Linked DNA regions of Sus scrofa. The protein of the gene in region 1 binds, or shares a complex with, the protein of each later gene. Links are inferred from orthologs where the notes say so. Each region holds a gene or a part of one and is shown in the gene's direction. Other genes may lie near its edges.

Region 1 (3,651 bases):
GCGGGCAGGAGGGGCAGGGCATCACGTGAAAGGCAGACCTCACCTCTGTTGAGGCCGGTGCTCCCCACTTCCGGTTCTGTGTGGCTCTCTTTTCGCCCCGGGCTCCTCGCGTCCATGCCTGCCCTTCCCGGCTCTCTGATCTAGAGGCACGTGGTGATTCCTTTCCTTGCACGTTGCTTCTCGCTGTGTCTGGTTCTCTGCTTATTATATGAACTGGATACACTTGTGGCTGGAATTGTATGCTGGTTGAGTAATTTCTTAAGTTTAAGTTTTTTTTTTTTTTGTCTTTTTGCCTTTTCTAGGGCCACTCCCGTGGCATATGGAGGTTCCCAGGCTAGGGGTCTAACTGGAGCTGTAGCCCCTGGCCTACGCCAGAGCCACAGCAGTGCGGGATCTGAGCCGCGTCTGCAACCTACAGCTCATGGCAACACTGGAGGATCCTTAACCCACTGAGCAAGGGCAGGGATGGAACCCACAACCTCATGGTTCCTAGTTGGATTCGTTAACCATTGTGCCACAATGGGAACTCCAAGTTTAAAGTTTTTAATTAAATACTCTGAATAGGTGATAGTTGTGGGTGGTGTACAAATGCAGCAAGTGCCGAAGTAGGTGGTGAGAACTGTGCCTTGTCAGGCCCTAGTCACCCAGGTCTCTGCAGAGGGAGCTGAGGAGTCAGTCCCTTGATCCCATGGCTTAAAAATTATTTGATGTACGTAGCTGATTGTGATTTCTTATGATGCATCTATTTTGTTCTGCACGGGTCGTGTAACTTTGAGGGGCTGGACTGAGCAGGAAGCATTTGGGTGACTTGGGAGTTAAGACGGATGAGGTTTCCCCCATCTCTTTTGGGAGCGGGAGGCCAGATCTGGCCAGAGTTGGACTTTGAGGGCCTTTCCCGTACCCCGTGCCATCCCCGCAGGAGGAGCAGAAGACCATGAAGTCCAAGATGCGAGAGAAGGTCCGGCCCAAGATGGGCAAGATCGACATCGACTACCAGAAGCTGCACGACGCCTTCTTCAAGTGGCAGACCAAGCCCAAGCTGACCATCCACGGGGACCTGTACTACGAGGTCGGCAGCGGGGGCGGGGAGGGCGGGGGCAGGGCTCTGCCTTGGGTCACCACCCCGGAACGCCGGGTCCCAGGGGCTTTGGAAGCTGGAGGTGGGGCCGGTGGCCCTCTCGCCTCAGGCTCTGGGTTGTCCACTAGCTGCCCTTGGATGGGGTGGCATTTGCAGCGAGGGGTGCTTTTCTGGAGGAGGGATGCGGATCGCATCTTCGAGGCAGCAGTCGTGTATGTGGGTAGTTTAGAAACAGGGGCCGAGGGCAGATGCTTTAGGAAACATTCCCTCTTGGGGGCAGGAGAAAATTGTCTTGTTTTGGTTTTTTTGTTCTGGCCCTTGAGATGTTAGTCAGCGCGGTGTCGTGGGATTTTTGAGGCCGAAGGCCCTTGGAGACGGTCTTCTCCAAGCCCCCACCCGGGAGATGAGAAAGCCTGTCCTTAGAAGTGGCTGTGCGCTCACAGCGGGAGTGCCTGCCCCCTCCACTTCCTGGCTTTTATCATCATTCCCCACCCCCGGCGCGGCCGGGGGCAGAGGTGACGAGAACCCTGGGAACTAGGTAGTCCTCCGAGGGACTCTGTCTGCTGTGGTTTGGGACCTCTTTGTTCTCCCGCCCCCTGGCAGGTAACCTCCCAGTGTGTGTCTGGAGCCCACAGCACGGCATGCTCTGCTTTTTCCTCAGGGGAAGGAGTTTGAGACACGGCTGAAGGAGAAGAAGCCAGGCGATTTGTCTGATGAGCTGCGGATTTCCTTGGGGATGCCAGTAGGACCAGTGAGTGCCAGTTACCTGGCTGGGCAAACAGAGAAGAGGTTGGGCATGGGGCGGGGGAGCCAAGGGCTCGGGTCGGGCAGGTGGGAGCCCGTCCTCTCTCGTCCTGCAGAACGCACACAAGGTCCCTCCCCCGTGGCTGATCGCCATGCAGCGCTACGGGCCGCCCCCGTCGTACCCCAACCTGAAGATCCCGGGGCTGAACTCGCCCATCCCCGAGGTGAGAGCTTTCCTTTCTGTCCTTCTTCTAAGGGAGGAGCTGGCTCTTTAACTAGAGGAGGATTTTTTTTCTTTTCTTCTACTGTGTGTCTTTTGGCTTTTTTTCAAATTAAAGGAGTATGGTTTTTGTTTTAAGAAAACCACGAGACGTGTGTCATAAAATGGTCAGTCAGAATTGAGAACAAAGATGAAAACACATATTGCTCACATTTCACCACTCAGAAATAACCAGGTTTAATATCTGGTGAATGTATTTCCAGATATCTCTCTCTGATGTGTACATGGATGGACAGATAGAATTTTAAGAGTGGCATTAAACTTATTTTTTTTAATTTCTTTTCTTCAGAAATCTCTATATTGAGGTAATACCATTGGAGAAATAGTCAAAACTTAAAAAACCTTTAGAGAATGAACTTCATGCTGTTTTCTTTCTTTTTTTCATTAAAAATAGTAATCTATTTTGTTGCAAATTATTTTTATTTTTTACCTTTTTTTCTTTTTTTATGGCTGCACCCATGGCATATGGAAGTTCTGGGGCCAGAGATTGAATCTGAGCCGCAGCTGTGCCCTACTCCACAGCTGCAGAAAAACTGGATCTGGAGTTCCCGTCATGGCTCAGTGGTTAACAAATCCGACTAGGAACCATGAGGTTGCGGGTTCAGTCCCTGCCCTTGCTCAGTGGGTTGGGGATCTGGCGTTGCCGTGAGCTGTGGTGTAGGTCAAAGACGCGGCTTGGATCCCGCATTGCTGTGGCTCTGGTGTAGGCTGGCAGCTACAGCTCCGATTCGACCCCTAGCCTGGGAACCTCCATGTGCCGCGGGAGTGGCCCAAAGAAATAGCAAAAAGAAAAAAAAAAGAAAGAAAAACTGGATCTTTTAACCCGCTGTGCCAGGGTGGGAATCAAACCCTAGCCTCTATAGTGACCTGAGCAGTTGCAGCCAGATTCTTACCCCATTGCACCACAGCAGGAACTGCTAAGTTTGTTTTTAAATAAAAAGCAATAAAAAATTTCACAGACAACAGTCATTAAAATGGGAAAGAAGTGATTGTTAAATTTCAGATAAAAATTTCTGTTACTTTGAGTTCCTGTTGTGGCTCAATGGTAATGAACCCGACCAATAGCCATGAAGACCTGGGTTTGATCCCTGGCTTCACTCAAGTGGGTTAAGGATCTGGTGTTGCCACCAGCTACGGTGTAGGTCACAGACATGGCTCGGATCTGGCGTTGCTGTGGCTGTGGCATAGGCCGGCAGCTGCAGCTCAGATTCGATCCCTAGCCTGGGAACTTCCACATGGCACAAGCCCTTAAAAAAAAAATTCTGTCACTTTAGAGAACTAGATTCTGAAAGCTTGCCAACATTAGGAACATCAGTAAGAAGTTGGAGTCGTGTCTTGCAAAGTACATGTTTCAGTTTTAGGCAGCATGAACTCCACCCTGAAGGCTGAAGTTACTAGCAGGCTTTCTGCTTCCCATCTCCGTATCCTGTTACCTCCAGATTTTTGTCGCTTAGCACTCTTGCTTTGTAATGCTCTGTGACGTTTGCTTCTTCTCTGAAATGAAGCTGGAGTTCCCAAGTGTTAGTTCTGTGCTTTGGAGCGTGACTTT
Region 2 (3,306 bases), on another chromosome or scaffold:
GGCAGGGATTGAACCCGCAACCTCATGGTTCCTAGTCAGATTCGTTAACCACTGCGCCACGACGGGAACTCCCAGACATTCTTTTATAGAAACAAACACAAAATACTTTAGCCTGTTTACTTTAACAACTATCAGCCTGTTTTCATTTCTTAAAGTTTTACCGAAGAGTATAACTATACTTGCTGGGTTTTGTTTTCTTAACCTTTACTTCCATTCTTTCCTCTGACTTCCACCCCAAAGCAGTCACCTACATGCCAAGTCTAGGCTGCTCCTTATCTTGTTTGATCTTTGCTATTCTTGAAACTGGCCGTGTCCTCCTGTTTGAAAATCTTGTCTTTTTTGGTTTTTATGGATTCTCTTTCTCTCTGAATCCTCAATCTCAGCCACCTTAATAGGCTCCTTTTTCTCAGCTGAGGTTTTTGTGTCTGGCTCTCTTTTTTGCACAGTCCCATTGTTTGTACACTGATGCCACCTAGATGGGTGGCTGTTCCATGGGTATTAACATTCCATACCCTTAATCTTACTGTTTAATGGATGACTACTTTTTTTTTTTTTTTTTGTCTTTTGTCTTTTTGTTGTTGTTGTTGTTGTTGTTTTTGTTGCTACTTCTTGGGCCGCTCCCGCGGCATATGGAGGTTCCCAGGCTAGGGGTTGAATCGGAGCTATAGCCACCGGCCTACGCCAGAGCCACAGCAACACGGGATCCGAGCCGCGCCTGCAACCTACACCACAGCTCACGGCAATGCCGGATCGTTAACCCACTGAGCAAGGGCAGGGACTGAACCCGCAACCTCATGGTTCCTAGTCGGATTCGTTAACCACTGCGCCACGACGGGAACTACTGGATGACTACTTTTATACCCCTGCCCTTCAACCTTATTCTTTCTCTAGTAGTCTTAGTTTTCAGGTGCTTGATTCAGAAATCTGGGAGCTATGTTTGACTCTTCCCTGTTACCCCACTCTTTTTTTTTTCTGTCTTTTGTCTTTTTAGGGCCGCACCTGCGGCATATGGAAGTTCCCAGGCTAGGGGTCTAATTGGAGTTGTAGCTGCCAGCCTACGTACGCCACAGCTGCACCAACACCAGATCTGAGCCGCATCTGTGACCTACACCACAGCTCATGGCATCACCGGATCCTTAACCCACTGAGCAAGGCCAAGGATCGAACGCACAACCTTACGCACCATGACAGGAACTCCACCCCACTCTTAATACCAAGTCTTATTAATACCTCTGCCATCAGCCCTCATTGTCAGTGCCCTAGTTCAGGCTCTCATATCCTCATTATTCCACACCTAATTTATTGTAGTAATTTTCTGACACTTTGACTCTAATTATCTCTACCTTCGATCGACTTTCAGTGAGTAATTTTTCTAAAATATAGATGTTCACACACCCTTGCTCAAAATTCTTTTGCTCCCTTTTACCTATCGAGTAAAGGCCAAACTTGTTAGCATAGCAGTTCTAGGTTTGTCATGATCTGGCTCCTCATTGTTCCCACAACTGCATTCTCCTGATTACCGACTTACTGGTTTTCCTATAACATACTGTGCTTTTGGACGTACTTGTGCTTTGCACGTGCTAATCATTTTGCCTAGAATGTTCTGTTCCCACTTGTTGTCCCCCTGAAAAATTCCTCTTTATCCTTCAGAATTGGATCTTGGTTCAGGCAGTATCTCTGTTACCTTCTCAAATCCTATTCAATAGCATAATCGTTCCATTTGTTACATACTTCTGCAGCACTTGTACAGTGCCTAAATCATGGAAGGAGCCAGCTGGGTGGTTGGGAATTGATTGGATCATAGGTTGGTTGGTTCTCTTGCTTGGAGTCAAGGATAAGGGCACTTTTTACCAGCCTTATTTTCCTTACTCTTTTCTTTCTCATTTTCTTTGCCCCCTTGTCTGATTTTCTTTTGTCTCCTTTGTGTTTGTGTCTGTTTTGTTCTCATAGGGATGTCTCAGATGCAGCTGGCCCACCATGGCCCTCATGGCTTAGGACACCCCCATGCTGGGCCCCCTGGCTCTGGAGGGCAGCCACCACCTCGACCACCACCTGGAATGCCTCATCCTGGACCTCCTCCAATGGGCATGCCCCCTCGAGGGCCTCCATTTGGATCGCCCATGGGTGAGTAGGTTCTGGCCACCTCTCTTGTCCTCATGTGTCATATTCTTGCAGCTTCTTTAGTCACACCTCTTATCCCCTGTGTGTTCTTTCTTTTCATTCTTGTATTTCTTTTCACTGTTTGCTTGTCTCTCCTCTTCCTTCACTGTCCCAATGTTTTGTCCTATTTGTCCCAATTATCTCCTAATTGTTTTTACTAAGTTCGTTCTTTTCCTGCAGGTCACCCTGGTCCTATGCCACCACATGGTATGCGCGGACCTCCCCCACTGATGCCCCCTCATGGATACACTGGCCCTCCACGACCTCCACCATATGGCTACCAGCGAGGACCCCTCCCTCCACCCAGACCCACTCCCCGGCCTCCAGTTCCCCCTCGAGGCCCACTTCGAGGCCCTCTTCCTCAGTGATTTCTCACTGTCTTTGCTCCTGTTATGTCCTCCCAATATCTTTTCACTTCCTTGGACCAATCAGAGTTGCTGTAGCTCGCAGGGGCTAGGGCACTAATCCCTCTCAGGCCTTTTTTGTAAGTGTAATTTTTTTTCCACAGGAGGTTTTTTTTCCCCCTCTATGTTGGTCCGAAGTGCTTTGCAAATGCACAGAGAAAATAAAACTTAACTCCTTGTTTATTCTTTGTGGTGTTTTCCTTGGCAAAACAACTTCTTTTTCTCTAATAAGAGGTGTCAGTCTAATAGGGAAAGACTGGTAAGGTCAGAATAAGGGTGTTTACTCCATGGTTTAAAGGCTTATTCTGGGAGTTCCCATTGTGGCTCAGCAGGTTAAGGATCTGACATTGTCTCTGTGAGGGTGTGGGGTCTATTCTTGGCCTCACTCAGTGGGTTAAGGATCCAGCATTACTAAGCTGTGGCGAAGGTCGCAGAGGTGGCTCAGATCTGGTGGTGTCATGGCTGTGACATAAACCCCAGCTGCAGCTCTAATTCGACCCCTGGCCTGGGAACTTAAGCATGCCGCAGGTATAGCTGTAAAAATAAAATTAAATAAGTAAATAAATACAGACTTATTCTGTAATGTGCTGTGGTGGTTGCTGGACTGCTGTGTACTACAGCAGTTATTTCTTTACATTAAACTTACCCATAAGATGAAGACCCAATATCTGTGATAAAGGATTATTGTGATTATTGTGACTATTAAGTGAGAACAGAATTAAAGTTCCTGAGGTAATGCTGG
Region 3 (3,751 bases), on another chromosome or scaffold:
AATGATTGGATCCTTTGGAAATACAAGATACGTGTTCTAGAAACCCCATAGTATACTTTGGCTGAATTGTTGGCATTCTTTTTTAATCACTGTGTTCCATTGTCTATCAACACAGTTGTTCACATTTTCTAGCAAATACCAAGAAACAGCAGGTGCACACTGAAATACACAAATGGTGGTCAATGTCATCAAGAGCGTTCAAAAAACATCATGCTAAACTAAGGGATCTCAGCGCCCCAAAATACCAAAATGGCAATGTCAGACGCTAGATTCCAATGAAAAGAAGAGCTTCATGAAAAGGGAAAAAAAATTTTACTTTCTCTCTCTCCCATCTCTATATATCTATTTTATGTATGCATGTATTTACAAATTATCTAACAGAGAGCTTATATGTAGTATTGACTAATGTTAAGTAAGGAGTCCACGTGTCACACTGTGGTGACTAGTCCAGAATAAAACCCCATATATATACACACACATATATGTGTACGTGTGCGTATATATAAAAGGGTAAAAGGGCAAATCCAGGCCTTATCCTAACACTCTCATTTATTCACACTATATTTTTCAAAAGAAAATACATTACTGATAAGGAAAAAGACTAGCAGAGATTAGTAAACATTGCAAGCTACCAAGGTCCCAAGTGCTAAAGCCATTTCAAACCCTAGCTAACCTTTTTGATGATATAGATATATACTAGGAGGTATGAATGGCAAGAAAGGAGAAAGGAAATCTTTCTCACCGGTCCTATCTTCTTCTGGGCCACCCTCAAAATCCCAATTGACAGGAGCAGATTTGTACATAAGACAGTGAGCAATACACAAACTTAATGCTGCGTGAATGAGTGAATGAACGAAGAGTAGGTGCAGAGTTGCCCTTCCTGAGAAACCAGCCTTATATTAGGCCTTGGAGAGCTCAGGAGGACTTCCGCCAGGTGCCCCCTGGGGCAGCTATTGCCCAGGTGCCCGTGGTCTGACCTGGCCCAGATCCTCAAGCCTTGCAGCGGAAGAGAGGGCCATTCTGAAAGGCTCCTGGAGGCGCCTTCGCGGGAATCGTGGGACCGTAATCTCCAGCCCCATCCCAAACTGGGTCGCTGCGGACTCTGCCCAAGCCCCAGCCGACTGTGGGCAGAAAGGGACAAGCTGAGAAGCATAATCAAAGAGCACAGGCGTAAAGACCAAGAGAAACGGCGGGACAAACACAGAAAGTCGGAACTGAAAAAGAGCCAGTTCATCGGGGCAGCCCCTGGGTCACGCCGGAAGGGCGGCGCTCGAGGGGCCCGCGGGCAAGGGCCTATTGGTAGCAGAGATTTCCGATCAGTTGGGCAATTGGCGGGGGTGGCTTGCAGCCGCTGGAGGCTCGTGCGCCGGGAGCGTCCGGCTGGGCTTACCTAACTCTCCCGCTCGCGGAAGAGAACGGGAGGGCTACTACCTCCCACCATCAGGTGCAACTCGCCGCCCTGAGTCTCGCGCAGGCGCAGGCCAGCAGGGCGGAGACCGAAGGCCTCACAACCAATCGCAGAAGTGGAGAGGTGGGCCAAGAAGGAAGCCCCGCCTTCCCGCTCTCCTTTATTCCTCCCGCGGCTTTCCAGGTGTAGAATAGGCGGGGCGGAGGATCCGGAAGTGGACTTTCATAACCCGGAAGGGGAGTGTTTTCTCAGCTGTGGTGTTGATGGTTTCCAGCTCCCGATCCTACTGCGACTGAGGGAATCGTCGCGAAAGGATGGTGTGCGAAAAATGTGAGTTAAGGAAACTCTTCTGCGGGAGAAGAAGGCTGGGACAACCTAACTGGAGTTCCCCGGGACTTTATTCCTTTGTTTTTACTTTGGCCACAAGTCTCTGATTCTAGCCTCTGTTCTGTCCTGCCCTTTGACCATTCCTGCCTCTCCATCGACCGTATAGTCCTCCGTTTGTTGCATTCAGGGTGGTCTCCTTGTCTGTTTTGCACCTCCTTGTCTGTTTCCATTGTTTTCGTTCAACCCCTGAGCTTCTTGACTGGCTCCCTCATTTCAGAGCTTCAGGTTGAAATGGATCTTAAAAGTCGCTTCCACAGCAACTGGAGTTGCTAGGTTTAGCAAATAAAAGTACTGGACGCCCAGTTAAATTTGAATTTCAGGTAAACCAAGAATAATTTTTAGTGTGCGTCCTATGCAATATTTGAGATTTGGCTCTGTTTGCTGCTCCTTACTGCTGTAAAGCAAGGCACTTACTTTTAGGACATTGTCTACTGAAAAAGTATTCATTGTTTATTTGAAATTTAAATCTAACTTTTGGCGCAGGGTTCCATACCTGGCCCAGGAACTTCCACATGCTGTGAGTGCTTAAATGGTCCTTGAACGAATACCCAGAGTATTGAGGAATGGTGGCCGGTGTGTAGGAGAATCTCACCACCTTGGAAGCAGTCCGTGTTGATTTTACTGGCTTTTAGAAAGGTCTTTCCTTCTTCTAGTTGCCGTCCAGTAATTCTAATACCACCCTCTGAGATTTGATATTTTTGCTCCCACAAACTGGTTGTGTATTTAAAAAGAGCAGTCTTATTCCCGTTTTCCTGAGTCTAAACATGTCCTCTTAATTTGATTATCGTCAGTTTGATTATCATCTAATTAACTTGATCCATTTCGTTTACCCCCCCCCCACAGTATATAAAGCCTTATAGCTTTGAACACAGAATTTGAATCACAGTTTTCAGATTAGGTGAAAGAATGACCATGACAGTTACTTTAATACATTCTCAAGGTGCAGAGAATAATTTGGGATTTCTGTATCTGGAGACTGGCATTCAGGATGACCCTCTACAATGAGGCCACATCTTACCTTTTTAACTTTATTTTCACTAACCCTTACCATCTTTACAGTTCAGCCAAGCCAAACTATTTTGCCTGACTGCATGTACCTCGAGTTCTCCACGCCTTTTATCAGGATGTGTCCTTTATCCAGTTTACCTTCATCCTCCTTTCTCCTTTTTCTTCATGGTCTCATTACCACAAACCCTCTCTACTGCCTTCTTCACAAAGCTTTCCTGGATTTCCCTAGTCAAGGTTATTTCTTCCTCCATGGAATGTATCTTAGTACTTCAGCTCTTAACATACTGTTTACTTTCAGTTGAATAATGCTAAACTTTTGTTGTTGTTCTCGGAGCCCTTTGAGAATGTGACAAAAGCTGTGGACTTAACAGAGTCTATTAAAAAAAAAATGGATATACAGAGGTTTGTGTTCAGTTTCATCTTGTTCATGTATTTCCTAAGGTCCACATGTGAAAACTCAGGTTAAGAACTGTTGTTAGAGATAAATCAGTATGATGTAAACTCCTTGAAATCTAGAGCCTTATCTAATTCATTTTATTTTTCTCTGTACTTTGTACAATGGTTTATATATCACTGATATTTAGTAAATGAACAGATTTATCAGATTTGTTTAAAGCATTAATGTACAGAAACAAGCCTATTATAGGCCATACTATTATCCACAGATTTGACTGAGAGTCAGTTATCCATGGCCCACAATTAGTATCATAAGTCTCAGTTCACTGGCCCCAAGCCTCAGCAATAACAGATTTGTATGTAATATGAATATTAATACCATTGTAAACTTAAGGCACAATGTAGTGTATTTATTAGATAGTAATGCTAACCCCCCCCCACTTTTGTTATCTTGTTATAACAGGTGAAAAGAAACTTGGTACTGTTATCACTCCAGATACATGGAAAGATGGTGCAAGGAATACCACAGGTATTTTTCCTTTTAGAACATAG

What was found.
Region 2: SF3B2 (region 1) and SF3B4 share a complex: the UniProt entries of both Homo sapiens proteins name them as parts of the SF3B subcomplex of the 17S U2 SnRNP complex. The link is inferred for Sus scrofa from reciprocal best matches to the Homo sapiens genes SF3B2 and SF3B4.
Region 3: SF3B2 (region 1) and CRIPT share a complex: the UniProt entries of both Homo sapiens proteins name them as parts of the minor spliceosome. The link is inferred for Sus scrofa from reciprocal best matches to the Homo sapiens genes SF3B2 and CRIPT.

What each region holds. Positions count from the first base shown.
Region 1 is NC_010444.4:6,283,507-6,287,157, reverse strand, and holds part of SF3B2 (splicing factor 3B subunit 2), read left to right. Parts: intron 1-919; coding exon 920-1,069; intron 1,070-1,739; coding exon 1,740-1,829; intron 1,830-1,938; coding exon 1,939-2,046; intron 2,047-3,651. UniProt on the Homo sapiens protein: Component of the 17S U2 SnRNP complex of the spliceosome, a large ribonucleoprotein complex that removes introns from transcribed pre-mRNAs.
Region 2 is NC_010446.5:99,126,472-99,129,777, forward strand, and holds the end of SF3B4 (splicing factor 3B subunit 4), read left to right. Parts: intron 1-1,950; coding exon 1,951-2,124; intron 2,125-2,340; coding exon 2,341-2,528; 3' UTR 2,529-2,747; downstream 2,748-3,306. UniProt on the Homo sapiens protein: Component of the 17S U2 SnRNP complex of the spliceosome, a large ribonucleoprotein complex that removes introns from transcribed pre-mRNAs.
Region 3 is NC_010445.4:93,923,754-93,927,504, reverse strand, and holds the start of CRIPT (cysteine-rich PDZ-binding protein), read left to right. Parts: upstream 1-1,588; 5' UTR 1,589-1,722; coding exon 1,723-1,738; intron 1,739-3,662; coding exon 3,663-3,728; intron 3,729-3,751. UniProt on the Homo sapiens protein: As a component of the minor spliceosome, involved in the splicing of U12-type introns in pre-mRNAs. Involved in the cytoskeletal anchoring of DLG4 in excitatory synapses.